Danio rerio: one gene and its partner. The protein of the gene in region 1 interacts with the protein of each later gene in a biochemical or structural test. Links are inferred from orthologs where the notes say so. Each region holds a gene or a part of one and is shown on either strand. Other genes may lie near its edges.

The links.
Region 2: the proteins of hsf1 (region 1) and ptges3a form a complex in vitro, tested with the Homo sapiens proteins (2 studies listed by BioGRID). The link is inferred for Danio rerio from reciprocal best matches to the Homo sapiens genes HSF1 and PTGES3.

Annotation. Positions count from the first base shown.
Region 1 is NC_133194.1:3,478,546-3,482,201, reverse strand, and holds part of hsf1 (heat shock factor protein 1), read right to left. Parts: intron 2,065-3,656; coding exon 1,940-2,064; intron 1-1,939. UniProt on the Homo sapiens protein: Functions as a stress-inducible and DNA-binding transcription factor that plays a central role in the transcriptional activation of the heat shock response (HSR), leading to the expression of a large class of molecular chaperones, heat shock proteins (HSPs), that protect cells from cellular insult damage.
Region 2 is NC_133198.1:29,970,438-29,974,760, forward strand, and holds the start of ptges3a (prostaglandin E synthase 3), read left to right. Parts: upstream 1-1,450; 5' UTR 1,451-1,620; coding exon 1,621-1,622; intron 1,623-3,744; coding exon 3,745-3,858; intron 3,859-4,323. UniProt on the Homo sapiens protein: Cytosolic prostaglandin synthase that catalyzes the oxidoreduction of prostaglandin endoperoxide H2 (PGH2) to prostaglandin E2 (PGE2).

The DNA.
Region 1 (3,656 bases):
GTGTGTAGCAGCTGAACAGACAAACTCTAACACTGAGCTCAGAACAGCTGCAGAGACGCGTCACACTGGCTGATTTAGAGCCATGACTAACCGGGTTGAAAAAGGTGAAGCATTAATGAGCAGCCACAAACCCGGCAGAGATTAGCCCACATTCACATCTCAGCCGTTACACTTTGAACTGCTATTGATATCCAGTCGGCGTAACACTGGATGAGGACTAACTGAATGACTGTCAACAAGCCAACTGTTACATCAGTGAAACACTTCTACTTAGCAATCAGTTTAGATACTTGACTAAACCAGAACAGGCAGAGAAAGTAGAACATATTGACTGAATCATTCACTCCTTTTCTTTTCGGCTTAGTCCCTTTATTCATGACATGGTGCGTTATCCTGTTGGAATTAGCCATCAAAAGATGGGTATACTGTGGTCATAAAGGGATGGACATGGTCAGCAACAATGCTCAGGTAGGCTGTGGTGTTGACACAATGCTCAATTTGTACTAATGGGCCCAAAGTGTGCCAAGAAAATCTCCCCCACACCATTACACCACCACCAACTGCCTGAACCGGTGATACAAGGCAGGATGGACCCTTGCTTTTATGTTGTTGACACCAAATTCTGACCCGAGCATCCGAATGTGGCAGCAGAAATAGAGACTCATCAGAGCAGGCAACGTTTCTCCAATCTTCTATTGTCCAATTTTGGTGAGCCTGTATGAATTGTATCCTCAGTTTTCTGTTTGTAGCGGATAGGAGTGGCACCCGGTGTGGTCTTCTGCTGCTGTAGCCCATCCGCCTCAAGGTTGGACGTGTTGTGTGTTCAGACATGCTCTTCTGCAGACCTCGGTTGTCACGAGTGGTTTTTTTGAGTTACTGTTGCCTTACTATCAGCTAGAACCAGTCTGGCCATTCTCCTCTGAGATTAAAAAGCCATTTGCCTTTCCCCCCTTTTTTGATGCTCGGTTTGAACTGCAGCAGATTGTCTTGACCATGTCTACCTGCCTAAACTAGTTAACGAGCAGTTGGACAGGTGTACCTAATAAAGTGGCCGGTAAGTGTGTTATTATCATAATTCAAAATAAAAGTGCTTTCCTTTTAAAAATATCTTGCATAATAATTAATTTTTGTGATACAAAGTTTAAAGTTCTCTTCAATTTTAATTTCCTCTTTAATTGTTATAATCGAAACAATGAATTGCCAACTGGCCCAACAGGACTCGAACCAGCAACCTTCTTGCTGTGAGGCGACAGTGTTAACCACTGAGCCACCGTGTATGACAGTGTGTGAATGTAAGAGTGTATGGGTGTTTCCCAGTACTGGCTTGTGACTGTGTAAAACATATGCTGGATAAGTTGCCGGTTCATTCCGCTGTGGCGACCCCTGAAAAATAACTAAGCTGAAGGAAAATGAATGAATAAATAAAATACTATAGAAGTCAAAGGTTGTCTGCACCAATGGCGTAGCAGCACATGGAACTCTGGTGCTCAAAGCGACCAGAGTTCTATTGCTTCCTCGAGGTCCTATAACGATCCTTCCCTTCTCTCTGCTCCACACACTTTCCTGTCTATTCTCTCTACTGTCGTATAAAATTAAAGGTGAAAACCCGGAAAAAACCCAAAAGAAAAAAAAAAAAAAAAAAAAAAAAGAAGTCAATGGTTACCGGTCTTCCAACATTCTTCAAAATATCTTCTTTTTGGTGGAAGAACAGGGAAAAAAAAGGATGACAGATTTTTTTTTTTCAAGTGAACTAATTTTTTTCATCATGCTAAAATGTAGATTTTTTTTTACAGTATTTAATCAGATAAATGGTAATCAATTTTCCAACATTCTTCTAAATATCTTCTTTTGGCAAAAGTAAGAAAGAACCTGGGAAGTGTGAACAAACACAGACAGAATATTAATTTTTCTGAATACCAACTGACTTCTCATGACTTACTGCTTGAGGGTGCTGATTTTGGAGTCCATGGACTCCTGCTTGCCCTTCATGTGCTGGACATCTGAGATCATTTTAGACACGTCGTCCGTGCTGAACTTGTAGTCCTCATGTTTAATATTCGACACCTGCAGATAGACACAATGAAAACGTCAGAGATGGACATGTGTGTGTGTGTGTGTGTGACCCCTTTCTGAACCCTCACATAGTGGAAAGCATGTGCTAATGGTTTGATTTCCGCCCTGAGCTGGACATTTGGACAGAGCGGCAGAGGAAAGGCTATAAATGGGAGAACTGGAAAGTGGTGATGGAGCACCAGAGCGACGCCAGATTAAGTGCCCCAGAACCTCGGTCTCTAATCCACACTCAAGTCTCCAGCTGGCTTCAGCTCCGACCTGCTGATTATCGCAATCTGTCACCGAGCCAAAGGGGGGAAAGAGGGACACCAGGAGTTAAACTGGCCCGAGGAAACCCGGCAGAGCACATGGAAATCATTGATTGCAAAAAAAAAAACTATTATAATAACTTGGGCTGGTTAGACATCATCCCAGCTTTGCAAATTTCTTAAGGGGAAAATCTAAGTTGCAGATCTCTAAACAGAATTCGAGGGGCTTTTAAATGTTTCGGTTAAATCATGCTCTCTATTGATTAAATGTACATCTAACTTTGTAAAGAAAATTATAGATTTAAGCTGTTAATAACCGTGGGAACTTTTCTGTAAAATAAAAGAATATAAATGCCATTAACATGGTTTCAACTGGAAGAAAACATTTTTATTCTGTGTGTACAATTTAATAATTGCGAATATATGTACATATATGTTGTTATAAATTATATAGTATTTATATATTTTTATGTATTATAAGAACATCAAATTTACCTTTCTGAATGTTATGAACTAGGGCTGTCGATTAAATAAAATTGGTCTGTAATTAATCTAATGATTCAGACTATTACTGTGAAAACATGAAATTAAAAAATATTGCATAATATATTAACTCTATACGTTTAAAAGTTATTATTTAGTCATAAAAATATTGAAGAAAACAATATATAATTTTGAAATACCTTATATGTTGTCTCTGGTGGCCTGCTATTTATTTATATTACATTTTATTTGACTAATTTATGCATTTATCTGTGAGTGTTTATATTAAAAATGTTAAAAATGTATAAATACTAACAAAAATGCATCAATAAGTCAAATAAAATGTAATGTAAATAAATAAGTTCAGCAGATAAGTCTTGCAAGGTATTTTAAAATGATCAATTATTTTGTTGAATAATATACCTTATATGATGTCTGTGGTGATCTGTTATTTGTTTATATTAGATTTTAATTGACTTATTTATGTATTTTGTGAGTATTCATTTTAAAATTGTTAAATTAAATATAAATACTTACAAAATTGCATTAATAAGTAAAAAAATGTAAAATAAATAAATGAATAAAAGTTAGGAAATTTTAAAATTATAAATTATTTTGTTAAATAATATACCTCATATGACGTCTCTGGTGACCTGTTATTTGTTTATTTATTTATATTACATTTTATTTTACTTGTGCAGTTTTGTGAGTATTTATTTCAAAATTGTTCAAATAAATATAAATATTCACAAAAATGCACAAATAAGTAAAATTAATTTAATATAAATAAATAAATAAATAAATAAATATAAGGTCACCAGAGAAGTCATATAGGCATTTCAAAATGATAAA
Region 2 (4,323 bases), on another chromosome or scaffold:
TAGTATAATTTGTATTATTTACTTATTTCATTTGTTTTCTGCAGTTCTTTAAGTGTTGTCTATTTATTAGACAGACAGACAGACAGACAGACAGACAGACAGACAGACAGACAGATAGATAGATAGATAGATAGATAGATAGATAGATAGATAGATAGATAGATAGATATTAATAATAATATATTAATAATTATAATAATAAAAATAGCACATTCATCCATCTATATACCTTAACTGTTAAAAATCCGCAGACAACAACCAAAAATTATAAGTTTTTATAAATATTATTATTATTATTAGTAGTAGTAGTATTAATAATAATAATAATAATGTTGATTGTTGTTGTTTTGTTTATAGCAATAATTATTGTCATTATGGCATTGCTATTATTGTAAATAATGTGTCATGGTTATTTTATTATTATTATTAATATTATTATTATTATTAATAATAATAATAATTATTATTATTATAATAATCATCATCATCATAATGATAATAATTCATTCATTCATTCATTCATTCATTCATTTTCTTTTCGGCTCAGTCCCTTTATTAATCTGGGGTCGCCACAGTGGAATGAACCGTCAACTTATCCAGCTTATGTTTTAAGCAGTGGATGCCCTTCCAGCTGCAACCCATCACTGGGAAACATCCATACACTCCCATTCACACACATACACTACAGACAGTTTTAGCTTACTCAGCCAAGATCACATGTCTATGGACATGTGGGGGAAACTGAGGCTCCCGGAGGAAACCCATGCGAATACAGGGAGAACATGCAAACTCCACATACTCCACTGACCCAGCCGTGGCTTGAACCAGCAACCTTTTTGCTGTGAGGCGATTGTGCTGCCCACTGTACCACCATGCTGCCAATAATAATAATAATAATAATAAATAATAATAAATAATAATGATAAATTATTATTACTATTATTATTAATATTACAAATTTTTCATAATTTGTTGTTTTATTATTACAATTATTATTATTATCATCACTATTAATATAACAAATGTCTACTAAAGTATTAATATTATTGGTATCATTTGTATTATTACCTTATTTCGTTTGTTATCTGCAGTTCTTTAAGTGTTGCCTTTATCAGACTGACAGATATTTGTATTTATTTATTAATATTTAATTAAATGCTTTTTATAAAATACATGTGAATGCACATGCACTTCATTCATTTCGCCTAGTGTAGTACGCCTGAGGATCCTGACAAAACAATTTCATTCTGACTCAAGAAAAAGTATGACGTATGATTTGTGTGGCCCTGCATCAGTGGACGTCCTGTACTGTACTGTCAAGGCGGAGCGAGCAGGGGAGCGAGCACTGCGTTACTATGGAGACGTGTTTGCTTAGGGAACGCGCATGGCTGGGGGCGCGCAGCAGAAGTCGCTAGAAACGTTGAGCTGATGCGTCACTGCGCGCCAGTGTGTAGAGACACGCGCACTCCTTGTGCAGGTTGACAGCGGCGCATAAACAGCTATAGCTTCCGTCTGTATGCCTTCACTGTGATCTGACAGCACAAATCCAAAACACTACCCCAGGCGAGAGGACGCGAGAGGAGACGCAGATTTGGGTGAACACTGAAAGGAGAATTCGACATGTGAGTCTGACCGGCAGTCATAGGGATGCACTAACTTTAGCTAGTTAGCAAATGTGTGCATAACCTTTATCAGCGAAACACCAGATTCTCTCTCATACGCCAACTATCATGTATGAACATTTAGGACAATACGAATCTTCCTCGTGAAGAAGCTTAGAATTTGTGTAGAAAAACGTCTAGTGGTAATTGGTGGTGGAAATAGCACACATTGTCCCCACAGCAGAGCTTAGCTAGCTGGTTAGCAGCTAGATAGTTAGGCCTGGGGTTACTGCAAGCTACTATGGCATGATTCTATTCTGTTCATCTATTCATGCTTCATATGCATTATTGTAGAATGTACAAGCAATATATGTGTCATATAAATCAACCTTTTACAGATCAAGGCTTGCAGGCTGGGTGTTCCCTATTGGAAAAGAACATGCTTAAGTCATGTTTGCTGTTTGAACGGGTTTAAGAAGGTATTAATGCCAGTTTATGCTGGTCTTCCATGCTGGAGATCAGTTGGGTGGCTATTTGGCCAACTGAAGGGGTTTAGTTTGTCATCCCAGCTTTACACGACAGGTTTGTGAGATGGTTTTGAGTACTTTCCTTCAGGTCATGCTGGTTAACAGTCTACAGGCTAAACCAGCAGAGCAAGGCTGAAAGGTTTTCAGCTGCGATCAATGATACACCATCTTTTTAAATGCATGTATGGACATGATAAATGCTAAAATTAAAAAATATGAACCAAATCTCCTTTATAAATAATATAGTAATATAATAATAAATGTTCAGCATCTTGTGGTTTCTGAATGATCACGTAAAACACTGAACCCTGGAGTAATGATGCTGAAAATTAATCTTAGAAGGGATAGTTCACGCAAACATTTTCATTTACTCACCCTTTAATTGTTTCAGACATTTGAGTTCCTTCTGTTAGACACAAAAGATTTTTTAAAGAAAGCTGGAAACCTGTAACCATTGACTTCTTGTGCTTTTTTTCCTACAATGGAGGTTAATAATTATAGTTCTTTAAAACATCTTTTGTGTTTAACAAAAGAAAAATACTTAAAGGTTTAACCACATAAGGGAGAGAAAATGGTGCGAATTCTAAATATTTGGGTGAATTATTCCAAGAATCAAAGTTATAAAGTTACTTTTTAAAGCCTTAAAATTAAAAAGTTACTTAGAATGACTGTTTTATTGTATCCTATACAGGGTATCCACAAGGTCTTAAAAAGTCTTAAATCTCAAAAATTTTAATTTAGGCCTCAAATAGTCCCAAATCAACTGAAATATTGTGTTGTATGTCTTAAATCTTTTTTAACATTCTTAATTTTCCTCTGTTCATGTATAGCTTCCCAATCTGGCCATTAACACTCATACAATCACCAACAATCTCAACAAAACTTTTCATTTAGAAATTGCATTTTGAACTAATTTACCATCATTGTTTAATTACTTTCCTTACAGTAATTGTTTTTAAAAAGTTCGCCCATTTATTTACTGCTGAGGATACTGACCACCTGACCTATATTTGTTATTATTAAATTATTATTATTATTGTATTATTAAATGTATTAAATTCTAATTATTTTTGAGAGGGCAAGTGAAAAAATTTTCCAACTGGGATATTCGAAAAAAAAAAATCCTTAGCATTTAGCTTTAAGTCTAAAATTTCCTTCATGATAAAAAGGTCTTTAAAAGTCTTACATTTAACCTAATGAAACCTACAGAAACCCTGCTTATAACTACAGCAATAAAAATAAACTCCAGATTTAAATAGGAGTTATTGTGCAGCCCTTTATTACAGAGGCCTGGTTTTGCTATAATTGTATTACATGGGTTAAGCCTTAGGTAGATTGTTAAGAAGCCATGCATGATCCTGCCAATTGATACAAATAGGTTGCCACGGTAACGTCATTGTTGCTCCACCCCCGCCAGGACCTCCTGCCCGCACATGTTAATTTAGAGCTGCACTTTTAGTGTGGAGTTTGACTTTTAACAAATGCACTTAGCTGGTTGCTCAGTTCCTCATGGATTCCATTAGAATTAAGTGATATTGTGTTTTTGAATGTCATATTAAAGTGGAGTTAGACTGAAGCCTTTTCTAAAACATTGCTTTTCATTTTTTGTTTTGCAGGCAGCCAGCTACTGCCAAGTGGTATGACAGACGGGAAGCTGTCTTCATCGAGTTTTGTATAGAAGACAGCAAAGATGTCCAAGTTAAATTTGACAAAACAAAGCTTGATTTCAGGTACATCCTTGTTTTAAGTTGTTAATAGTAGGCCTGAGTGATTTTGGAAACATTTTACATTGCATTTTTTTCTCTGCGATGTATATTGCGATATAAATTCAATTTCACCAGATGACAGTTATAGCTCTATCTGCAAAATCTTTAGTTTAGTGTGATTGGGATGATTGTGTAGGGGTGTGAAATATAAATATATATTTTAAATGTAATTTATTATATACATATAATAAACAAACTACATTCATATATCAACACAATGGTGCAAAAATGAAAGTAAATTAAACCATGTTTTCTGGAGAGAATCTAACAGTATTCAGGTACAGAAATTAAATAAATGTAAAATGTCAAATGTAAAATAACATTGCATAGTCTTCATTATACAAGTAATTTAATAAAAATAACCTTTATTAAACTTCTTTATGCACAACTAAAATGCTTTAAACGTAAAATGCTCACATAGTCTTTTTG